2 linked regions of the Saccharomyces cerevisiae S288C genome follow. The gene in region 1 interacts genetically with each later gene. Each region holds a gene or a part of one and is shown on either strand. Other genes may lie near its edges.

What was found. Genes that interact genetically often act in the same process or in processes that back each other up.
Region 2: of UBP10 (region 1) and YDR249C, a mutation in one rescues a mutant of the other (synthetic rescue), as found in Saccharomyces cerevisiae (2 studies listed by BioGRID, with this or other methods).

The regions. Positions count from the first base shown.
Region 1 is NC_001146.8:287,674-292,376, reverse strand, and holds UBP10 (ubiquitin-specific protease UBP10), read right to left. Parts: upstream 2,880-4,703; coding exon 501-2,879; downstream 1-500. Other genes in the region: mitochondrial 54S ribosomal protein uL11m MRPL19, read left to right, coding at 1-184; SWT21 (Swt21p), read right to left, coding at 3,310-4,383. UniProt on the Saccharomyces cerevisiae protein: Deubiquitinating enzyme involved in telomere and HM loci silencing, which is the repression of chromatin structure which leads to a stop in the transcription of nearby genes.
Region 2 is NC_001136.10:955,868-961,475, forward strand, and holds YDR249C (uncharacterized protein), read right to left. Parts: upstream 3,936-5,608; coding exon 2,814-3,935; downstream 1-2,813. Other genes in the region: putative serine/threonine protein kinase VHS1, read left to right, coding at 146-1,531; YDR248C (gluconokinase), read right to left, coding at 1,891-2,472; PAM1 (Pam1p), read left to right, coding at 4,747-5,608.

The DNA of each region.
Region 1 (4,703 bases):
AATGTTAGGCAGTGCACCTGCCAAGGGACCAACCCGTGCTTTAGGAGAGTTATCGCTGAAGCACGTTTACGAAATAGCCAAGATAAAAAAGAGTGATGAAAGGCATAGTTTATTGGAGATGGAAGGTATTGTTAAATCAATAGTTGGCGTTGCAAAAAGTATGGGTATTAAGGTTGTACCTTGATCTGTAAGTAGTGAAAAGACAAAAAAGTACCGTCAATTTCGAGAAATTTTCAACAGACCTTCCTTCTTCTTTCTACTGATCTATTCTGTAAATATGTATATAAGTTTTAAATTCTCTTTCTCCCGTTATGTTAGCAAAGCTCGGTAGTACTGAAGCTATTCTGAGTAAACGCTTCTCCAACTCTGTATACTGAGAGTTGTTTTATAAGTCAATAAAGACCGGATATTTATATGTATATATTGATTTGGTATAATAAAAATGAAATGCTAATAAAAATGCCTATGAAAAGAGGAAAATCCAGGAATATCGAGTTTTTTCATTTGGTGAACTTCCTTTTTTTATTTTTTTTCCATTTTTTTCTGTTATTTTTCTTGCTATTAATCTTCAATGGGCGGTTATTTGGTTCGTTAACAGCCTGTTCCTGTTTGGATTTAGAGGTAACATTACCAGTGGCCATGGCAGATTTCGCCAATGGCAATGGAACCGATTTTGGAGTTAGCCTCGTGTATAGGAGATAATATGCGTTGGGTTCCTTTAAAACGTCCCTTTCAGATATTATATTAATATACTCGTCGTCGTAAGTGGCCCAGCTACCGTCTGGTTGCTTGCAGTGGGCAATGTAGTGACCTGAAGAAAGGGAGCGGCCCTCATGAACCACCACGCTTAATAGTTGGTATTTGACAGGTAGCTCTTTACTCTCACAATATTCCGTCAAATCTAAAAACATAGGATAAGAAACAGCTTGCTTCATTTTTGATGAGGACGTGCCATTGAATCTGAATTTTTTCAGATGCACAAGTAAAGTTTCAGGAGCCCTTAATATTGAACTATGCTTCACGGCGTTCGTGGTCTTGTGACACTTCTCACAAACGTAACCCTTTTGCTCCTTGTCAACCTTGATTAATTCGGGATTGAAGAAATCTTTAATTGATTTTTCAATAGAAAATCTGCGGTTGGCTGAACTTAAATCACTGGCAGCGGCAAATGGTGAGCCATTGTTTAAATTGACAGATGAAGAGGATGAAAGAGATGGTTTTGTGGCAGCATTGGAGGTAGTGGTAGAAGTGGTGGCTGAAGTGCCGTTAATGCTATCACTCGACAGGTCAGAATTTGGATCAAGTTTTTTCTTCCCTTTCAAGTGCAACGATAAATCGTAAAATGGTTGTTCTGTTTTAGATATACTGCCACAAGATTTGCAAGTAACGATCTGCTTTAAAAGACCACCGAATATGTCATATATTATCGATTCTATAAGTTTATGACCCTTGGGAACAGAATCTTCCTGTAATCTTGACATCAGAGACATGAAGTACTCATGTGAATCTTCCTGCTGCCATTCGCTCATCATACAATTAATGTCATCCAATCTGGAAATCAAATGTTTTGGATTAATGTAGGAAGCTGAAACGTTCTTTCTAGGGTTTTTTGAGACCGGTAACCACATTTTTTTACTTGTTTCAGCTAAAGTATAGGAAACGGAATTTTTTGAGATGGTGCTATCGTATTTCCCCATTAGTATATCAAAAAGATAATGTTGTATCGAAGGAATGTGTAACATAGCCTGTACAGCAGCATTTGTGTAACAAGTAACACCATGATTCAAAAGGCCACGAGGCTTCAAATTGGTGAATTTGTCGCCCCAATTTTTAACAATTCTAGTAGAGTTTAAAGAACCACGATCATTGATATTTTCATTGAATTGGTAAAAGTTTGATAGATTTGATATTGTAACCGGAGGGGTGATTGACCTAGATTTATGTTTCAGCTCTTCTTCCTCTTCTTCCTCCTCCTCTCCCTTTGGATTCCTGTTTCCATTTTCTTTGGTGTTGTTTACTGGTTCGTACCGATTTACTTCCACTGTACTATTTTCCATTAAATCTTGATATAAACTCTTTTTTTCGCCTTCAGAAATTTTGGAGCTGGAATCGTTCTCCTCTTCTTCAGGGAGCTCTTTTTCCATAGCACTAGAATCATAATCCATGTCATCCTCATCCTCGTCGTCTTCTATTTCGTCATCACTGCTAATGCTTGTAGACAGTTCCTTTCTTTTTTCCTTTTCATTCTCATTAGATGAATCATCAATGGTTGCTAATGGAGAACCCAAGTTTTCACCAATGTCTTCACCAATGTCTTCACCGATGTCTTCACCGATGTCTTCACCGATGTCTTCGCCGATGTCTTCACCATCGCCCTTATCTGCGTTGTCGCGTTCCTTCAAACTAGCTTTTCGGGGTTCTACATAGTCTCTTGCCTCATGAAATATTTCACCCTCTTCCTCTTCCTCTTTTCCTACTTTGTCATCTTCCGAAGAAGAGGAAGGAGGCTCCGTAGAAAGCTCCGTAGAAAGCTCCGCTGACTTCTTGGCACCAGTAGCATCTGCAGCATCTTTATCATTTTTAGAAGTATACAACAATAAAGCTTCAGCCATAGATTTAGGAACAGTGTTGGTTTTCTTTCCGTTTGGCCTGTCTATCAAGTTATTTTCTTTTATTTGCTTGGATTCGGCCGTTGCAGCAATAGCTGTGCTATTACTATTGTTATTATGCTGTTTTCCTATCACAATATACGAGCTATTTTCCGGCGCGGCGGAAGTATCATTATTATTCGATTTGTTAGAGATCATTGCAGCATTGAACTGCAGGGGATTTGATAGGATTCTATCTACCAAAGGTTTGATCGATTCTTGAGTGGTCATAGTCTGTGATTGTGATATGACAATAGGACGGATTTACAGATACTATGAGTTGTAGATTCTTTCCGTTAGTTTTTCTATGAAATATTATGTGCAGTACAGAACAAAAGAGGCTTCAGACACTATGCATGCTCCTGTGTGCAGTATATGATGCTTAATAGCTTCTATGAAACAAATAAAGGACAGAAGCGGGGATGGAAGACTCTGTTAATGCTTTACAGGGAAGTTTTTCCCGATGGTGGCACTATATAAAAATAAGAACTTTTTTCTTTTCTTTTGGGGATTTTTTTCGATGCGAAAAAAATTTTTTGACGGCATGAGGCAAGAAGTGAACAAAAGAGGTGGTGTCTGGGGGATGCAATTTAACTTCTTACTTGTGCGCGTTCATCGGAGAAAGCTGGCCGGGTGATACACGAATACGGGTTTGCCGTTTTTAGCCGCCGAACCTGCATAATGAAATTGTGCCCCCATGAGATAGGGCGAACAGTTCGGGATCCCCAGGACAATTCTTCACTACCGTGGCAGGAATAGTAGAATCAAGGTTAGTGCGCCACTCTGACTCTGGCGGGATAGACGTGATTAGTGGGTCTTCAACACTATTGTGTGAGGGAACACCTCCAAATTCCACAAGGTCTCGACCCCAGTTCAATATTGTTCCCTGCGGCGTCCCCATACTTAGTCCGTAAGCCGTATCTATATATGCCTTCAACTTTGCAGAGTTGTGGTGGATCCGAAACGGTAGGCGCAATACGTTAAGCTCGTGCTGCAGGTTTCGCCGATCGTAAATACTAATCGCGTCACTGTTGCGTCTGACAACGTACACGTAACGCCCGTTATCGCTTGTAAGGATTTGTACAATCCCACCTGCAACTGTGCGGGTGTAGTTCAGTCTCTCTAGTCGTTGATGACGGCAGTCTACCTGAAACATTTCATTCGCATAACTGCCACACAATAGAGATCCTCTTGAGAGAGCTTGCCCTCCCATTGGTTGCTCTTCAAAGCAAGATATAATGCTTTGTCTTCCCTTGCTTGCTTTTTTGGTACTCTGGTTCATCCACACGGCATCTCGTCTGCTCTTGTCGTATATCGCCACTTTGTTACGGCATGAGCCAGTGTATACACGAGACTCAACATCGATTTTCACACTGTATACAGTTTCGTATTCTCCATTTATTTTGTTCATCGTGTCATAGCTGAGGATACACTGCCCGTCCATCAAAGAGTATAGTTGTAGAGGGAAGTTTTTTCCTCCAACCACGATTCTGTCACCAGCTAACCTGTCGGAATTCTCGTTATAAAGCGTGTAAAACGGGTCTATTGCACATGAAACAATAGACTGGTTTCTAAAAAACCTTGTAAATGGTAGAAGGAGGTTTCTGTTTAGCTTGTCCGTATTACTTTCCTCCGGCACTAAATATTGTCTGATGCCAAAATCATTATGCACAGAAACAAACGATGTACCATCACATGACCAAAAGATATCTTGACATATTACCTTCTTTTCCATTCTGAAGTCGTCTGTCATATTGATATATGGTGATTCTCCTAGTCGTGGATACTCGTATCCACTTCGATCACTTTGAGTCCTTTTTAACCATTCCTTATCTTCTCTTTTCCATACATTCGCTATCGTGTCAGCCTCGAACACTTCGCCAGTGTCGCAATACGGAATTGCATTCATTCTTTCATCATTTTTTCTATTCAAGGACTCATAATGCCCTTGTACCATCTATGTTTATGGAATATGCGGTCTGTCCACCACCGATTTTTAAGTGCACGCTTTTCTTTTTTTGCTTAATTTTCAGACCGTGATAATACTCTCTTTAA
Region 2 (5,608 bases), on another chromosome or scaffold:
TGGTGTTGGCGCTACCATTGTTTTTTTGTTTTATGAGTTACGTTTACAAAAGTTCTTAACATTTACTGTACGATAATATACTAAGGTGAAATACTAAAGTAAAATAAAATAAGAGAAAGAAAAAAAAAAAAAAAAGAAAAAAGTAATGATGATGTTCCATAATTGCAGAATTAATAACTACTTAATAACTTCTCAAATTGGCGAAGGCGCGTACGGTCTGGTTTACCGTGCCTTAGATATTCGTACCGATAGACAATACGCTATCAAAGCGGTTGTTCAAAGTTACGGTGTTAGCAAGGAGGCTGATATGGGCAATGATAAAATACACAAAAATAGCGTGAAATTGCAAAAGAAGCTCGCTAAACTGTTCAAGGAATCGAAAAACGTTGTCAGGGTGCCCTCTATAGATCTAGAATCAATTGAGAATATGTCAGAAGAAGATTTTAAAAAGCTGCCCCATTATAAAGAGATTTCGCTACACCTAAGAGTCCACCATCATAAGAACATTGTCACCATACATGAGGTGCTACAATCTGCAGTCTGCACGTTCATTGTCATGGATTATTACCCAACAGACCTATTCACGTCTATTGTAGATAACAGACATTTTGTCACTAATGGACTGCTAGTAAAAAAGGTTTTTCTACAGATCTGTTCTGCTCTTAATTATTGCCATGAGCACGGCATCTACCACTGTGACATCAAGCCTGAAAACTTGCTACTGGATACAGAAGATAACGTTTTCCTATGCGATTTTGGTCTATCCACTACTTCCACATATATAAAGCCAAATGTTTGCATTGGTAGCTCGTATTATATGCCCCCTGAAAGAATCTCATTTGATGGGAGAGTTTCCAGCTCTAAAAGTGGGGGACATAAGTTGGGTAAGGTTTGTCCCTCATGTAATGGCGATTTGTGGTCATTAGGTATCATCCTTATCAATTTGACATGCATCAGAAATCCCTGGCTGAAGGCTGACAAAACCGAGGATAATACCTACTATTATTTCACTAAGGATCCCAATATACTAAAGCAAATCCTACCGCTTTCCGATGACTTTTACTCATTATTATCTAAGATTTTACAAGTGAATCCGAAGAATAGAATGAGCTTGCAAGAGTTGATGAAAGAAGTTAGTTCTATTACAAGCTTCACCAATGAAGGCCCGTTATCAAAAGTGCCGCCTCTTTCCAAGTCTGTTTATGAAAAGTTCGTTAGCCCCGTCGATAACACGAATGAGAATTTGTCTCCAAAATCCTACGTGTACATGCACGATAGTAAAGCTGCCAAGAATTTATCTTATACATCTTCAAGTGAGGAAGAAGATGGAATCAAAGAAGGGATAGACGATGATAATGGCAGTCGCAGTGGCAGTTTCGGAACGCTAGACACAGACACTGGATTGCATTCTTCGTTCACAAGCACTTCTTGCGAGTCCGATAACGAATGTTCTAAGATTTCCAACAAATTTTCCTTGTTCGAAAAAAAATTCAACGAACTTCGCATGAGTTCCTCTTCTTTAACTAACTAACCCCCTCCTTTTTGGCACAAAAGTGTACTACACATCTGTTTTAAGCCCACAATTGATAGACCTTCTCTTGATGATCATCTGTTTTCCCGAAAATATTACTTGCCAAAGCAAGTTGTAGTTATATTCACACTTCCGTTATGACCCCCTCATCCGTTTAATGTTATTTGTTTTTATGGTATTCCCTTTATTCATTTTTTTTCTTGCTTTTTTTTGTTGATCCCTGTAACCCCTTTTTTTTTTTTGGAAGTTGCTATTATTATTCATTCACATTTGTTCTGTCTTTGTTAATTTTCCAGGTCACCGTATTTAATTTCTATATAACTGTTTCTAATATTTACTTCGTTTTATCCAAGCGTTATTTACTCAATATTCAAAACTTTACTTTTTACCACCTGTATAACATCTTTTTCAATTTGATAAAACGTTTTGAAATCTAAGGGAACAATGTCACAGTCAGTTTCGTCGTTGATGTCTGGTAACTCCAGATCCCTGAATTGAGACTCCATCATATCAGCTTTCATGAAATGACCCTTCCTTGTTTTGAGCCTTTTCAGAACTTCTATTTTACTTGCATACAAAAAGATAAAATGGAACTCCGATTCAGGGCATGTGTGCCTAATCAAATCTCTGTATTTCTTCTTCAAGCTCGAGCAAGCAACAATTGACAAATGCTCCTTAGTGCTTGCTGCAGCTTTTGTAGATTCTACGGCAACTTTTTTCAACCAGTCCCAACGGTCGTCGTCATTTAATGGAATCCCTCTTGTCATCTTTTCTACGTTGGCAGGCGGGTGTAAATCATCACCTTCGATGAATTTCAAATCCGGGTATATATCTTTAAATTCATGGATTAGTTCACCTGCAATGGTTGATTTTCCTGTACCTGCAGTACCTGCCAATACAATAACCTTAAATTTCCCCATAGTTTTGTGTTTCTCTGTCATCAACTGCGTTGTCCATCCATACGCTTACTGAGACACTATGAAAGCCTGTTTAGTCTTCGGAAAGCTATTTATTGCTTGCTACTTGAAAACCTTTTGATTATCGATATTTTTTAACGGGACCTTATATAATTATTGCTTGGAAACTAACGGTGTTATAATTTTTGACAAACTAATTAGCGACGTAATGAAAGCAGAAAAACCGCAAGAATATGAGAAAGGGAAAATATCAAAGAAAACAAAATATATTCCTTATATAACACCATCTTTTGTACATAAATGAATTGGCAAGCACATATTGTGCATGCATGCAAGGGGCAGAATCTTAATACTAAGTAATTTAATTATGCAAACATAACCCCGTATTGAGGCCTTCCGCCGCATTTAACGACCAAATCTATGAGTTTTAAATCAGACACCCGCCTTAACAGGTCCCATATAGTGCTATCAGATAAAAGTTCGTTTTCTGTCAATGATGGATTGTAATAATATTTCAGGATAAATTTCTCTATGAGCTGTAATCTTGATCTATTCTGCAAAAAAAACTCAAAGTTCAGACTCCCTAGTGAATCAGCATACGTGAAATATAATAAAAATATTACAGTCGTAAGGGGTTCAATAGACGCTAGTTTTTGCACTGTAGATCCAGAGACGTATAGGATTAAATCTATTGATTCAAATAGAGAAACAAAGGTAAACTTAGGGCTTAGGTCAGTTCCTTGCATATCAATACCTTGAAAAAACCATTCTATAAAAGGGGATATCACATCATATGGATTCTTCAAAGTAAAATGATTACCTAGAGACTTCACACATTCCCTACGTGTTAAAAAAATATGCATATTGTTGTAAAAGTTTTTAGGGAAGTCTTCTTTCGATGTATCTTCAGTGTTCATTGAACACAAGTCTAGCTCTTTAGATGTATCAAAATCGCCATTCTGCATATCTTGATAGTGCTTTCTGGGAAGAAAATGAGAAATATTTTTCAACAGGATAGGATGATGATCTAGTAGTAGTCTAAAAAAAGTTTCATGCTCAAATAATGTAGGGATCACAATATTTCTTGAATAAGCTTTTATATTACTTACGCCAAACTCCAGGGGATCGAAAAGATATTTTTCCCACATGATCTTCGATAATAATGAAAAAGATGGCTTCAAGCAACTATAGAAGAACCTGTTCAAGGTGACCATCGACGGTTCACCCTTTGTGAAAACGAAAATATGTTGAATAATCTCTACAGGTAAATCTTGCAAAGTTAGCTTTTGATGATGCCTAAGTTTCTTCGCAGGAAGCCTGATAGTCCTTTGATCTTCCGATATTGGCCTCTTGGATGAAACCCGGGTCTCTAAGAGATGCACATGGTGCTGCAAGTTTATCGAAGACGATGCATACCGATGCAAAGGAAGTGCATGTTTCTTTCTCTTATCATGACGGCTAGAATATCCTGTCAAAATATAACCCATGGCCACTTATTCTAAAAATACACTGCGTGAAAAAAGCACTGCTTACTTTAACAACATTAGTCCTCTTTAAATATATTTCATTACTCATCGCAAACTGAACAATTCTTGATGCTTAATTCTTACTAGCTGCAAAAAAGACAAGATGAAACGCGGTGTATGGTTGGACGATATAGTCTTATCCTAAATACACACAACATATATTGCGTAATAAAGAGATCTTCCTATCTATAGCACAATTTGAAGTTGAAAAGGCGTATCTAAAATGCTAATACTAAACAAGGCATCATGTTTTTGTCCCATTCACGTAGCACTGGCGATTTGCTTCCATATTCTTCTGTGTACAATAATAGCTTGGGTGGCTTTTTTCACAATGGGCTCTACGCGAAATTGTCGCAGCCCCCTGTTGGCCGTGCTGTGGGCCATTCTCGAGACTAGAATGAAACAGAAATCTACAAACATGAAAAGGTAGAGTAAAGTCGAGTAAGTAGTAGAAAAGAAAAGTGATATTGGCATACACGATAGCGAAGTTGTTCATATCTATTATCACCAGGCCATTCATTAAAAACTTACCGCTAAATTGAAAAAGAGGCGACTGCCAACATACTTGCCCTTTTTTTTTTCGCTATTATTAGTGTCCTTTGATTACAAACTACATCCATTCGAAAAGCTTGTAACCAACACTAAAGTCTGTGATTCTACCCAAATATTTGCTCTCCGTCATTTCTATTCTGTTTGAACTACTGTGCATATATTTTTCTTTTTGTTTCCTACATTTTATTCCCGGCATATCTCGCGATAGGTATATTGAATAATGACATCTGCATTAAGGGTTTTGGTATGCGGAGATCACCCAAATCTCATTCTGTACACATCCAGGTTTCAACATGCCAAAAATATAGAATTTTATCTTGTGAACAACTCAAAAAATGCCAACTACGAGGTTAGTTCACTATTTTATGGGACGGAACGGTTTCAGATTCAAAACCATTTCCAATCGCTCCTAGATTTAGTAGACCTTAATAATGAAAATGGTGGCTTGGTATTCGACTTGATAATAATGAGTGCGTCTTCACTGCAAGAAATCCCGCAGGTATTGAGAGATATAAAACCTATGATGAATAAGACAACAAAGATACTATTTGAAAGTAGCGGGTTTATATATTTGGAGCCATTCATCAAGGCTTCAGTTGATCTTTCGCTGTCAAATATTTTCAGCATTTTCACCGATTATGACATAAGACGGTTGGACAATGGCTCATACAAACAGTTCACGACTGCAAATGCCAAATCCTTTTCTGTTTCGATCGGTCAAACGACATCCGTTCACGAAAACAGCTATTCAAGTGATATTATTCCTATTTTGAATACATTTCAGAAATTGTTCCAAAAACTGTTTCCTAGGGACGTTGTGACTCTTTACGATCATTCTCCCTCCGCTTTCTTGGCAAAAGAATGGGAACTAGCTTTGCCTCAAATATGTTTCGATCCATTATTAATAATATTAGAAGAGAAGAATCCATCAACCTTGGATGACCACGTTTTGGCCAAACCTCTTATTTCAGGTTTACTAGGCGAGAGCTTATTAATAATAAAAAAAATGGGTATAGCCATGAACAATCCAAATTTTCAAAATGAACAGACTATATTGAAACATTGGAAGAATAAGTGCGAAG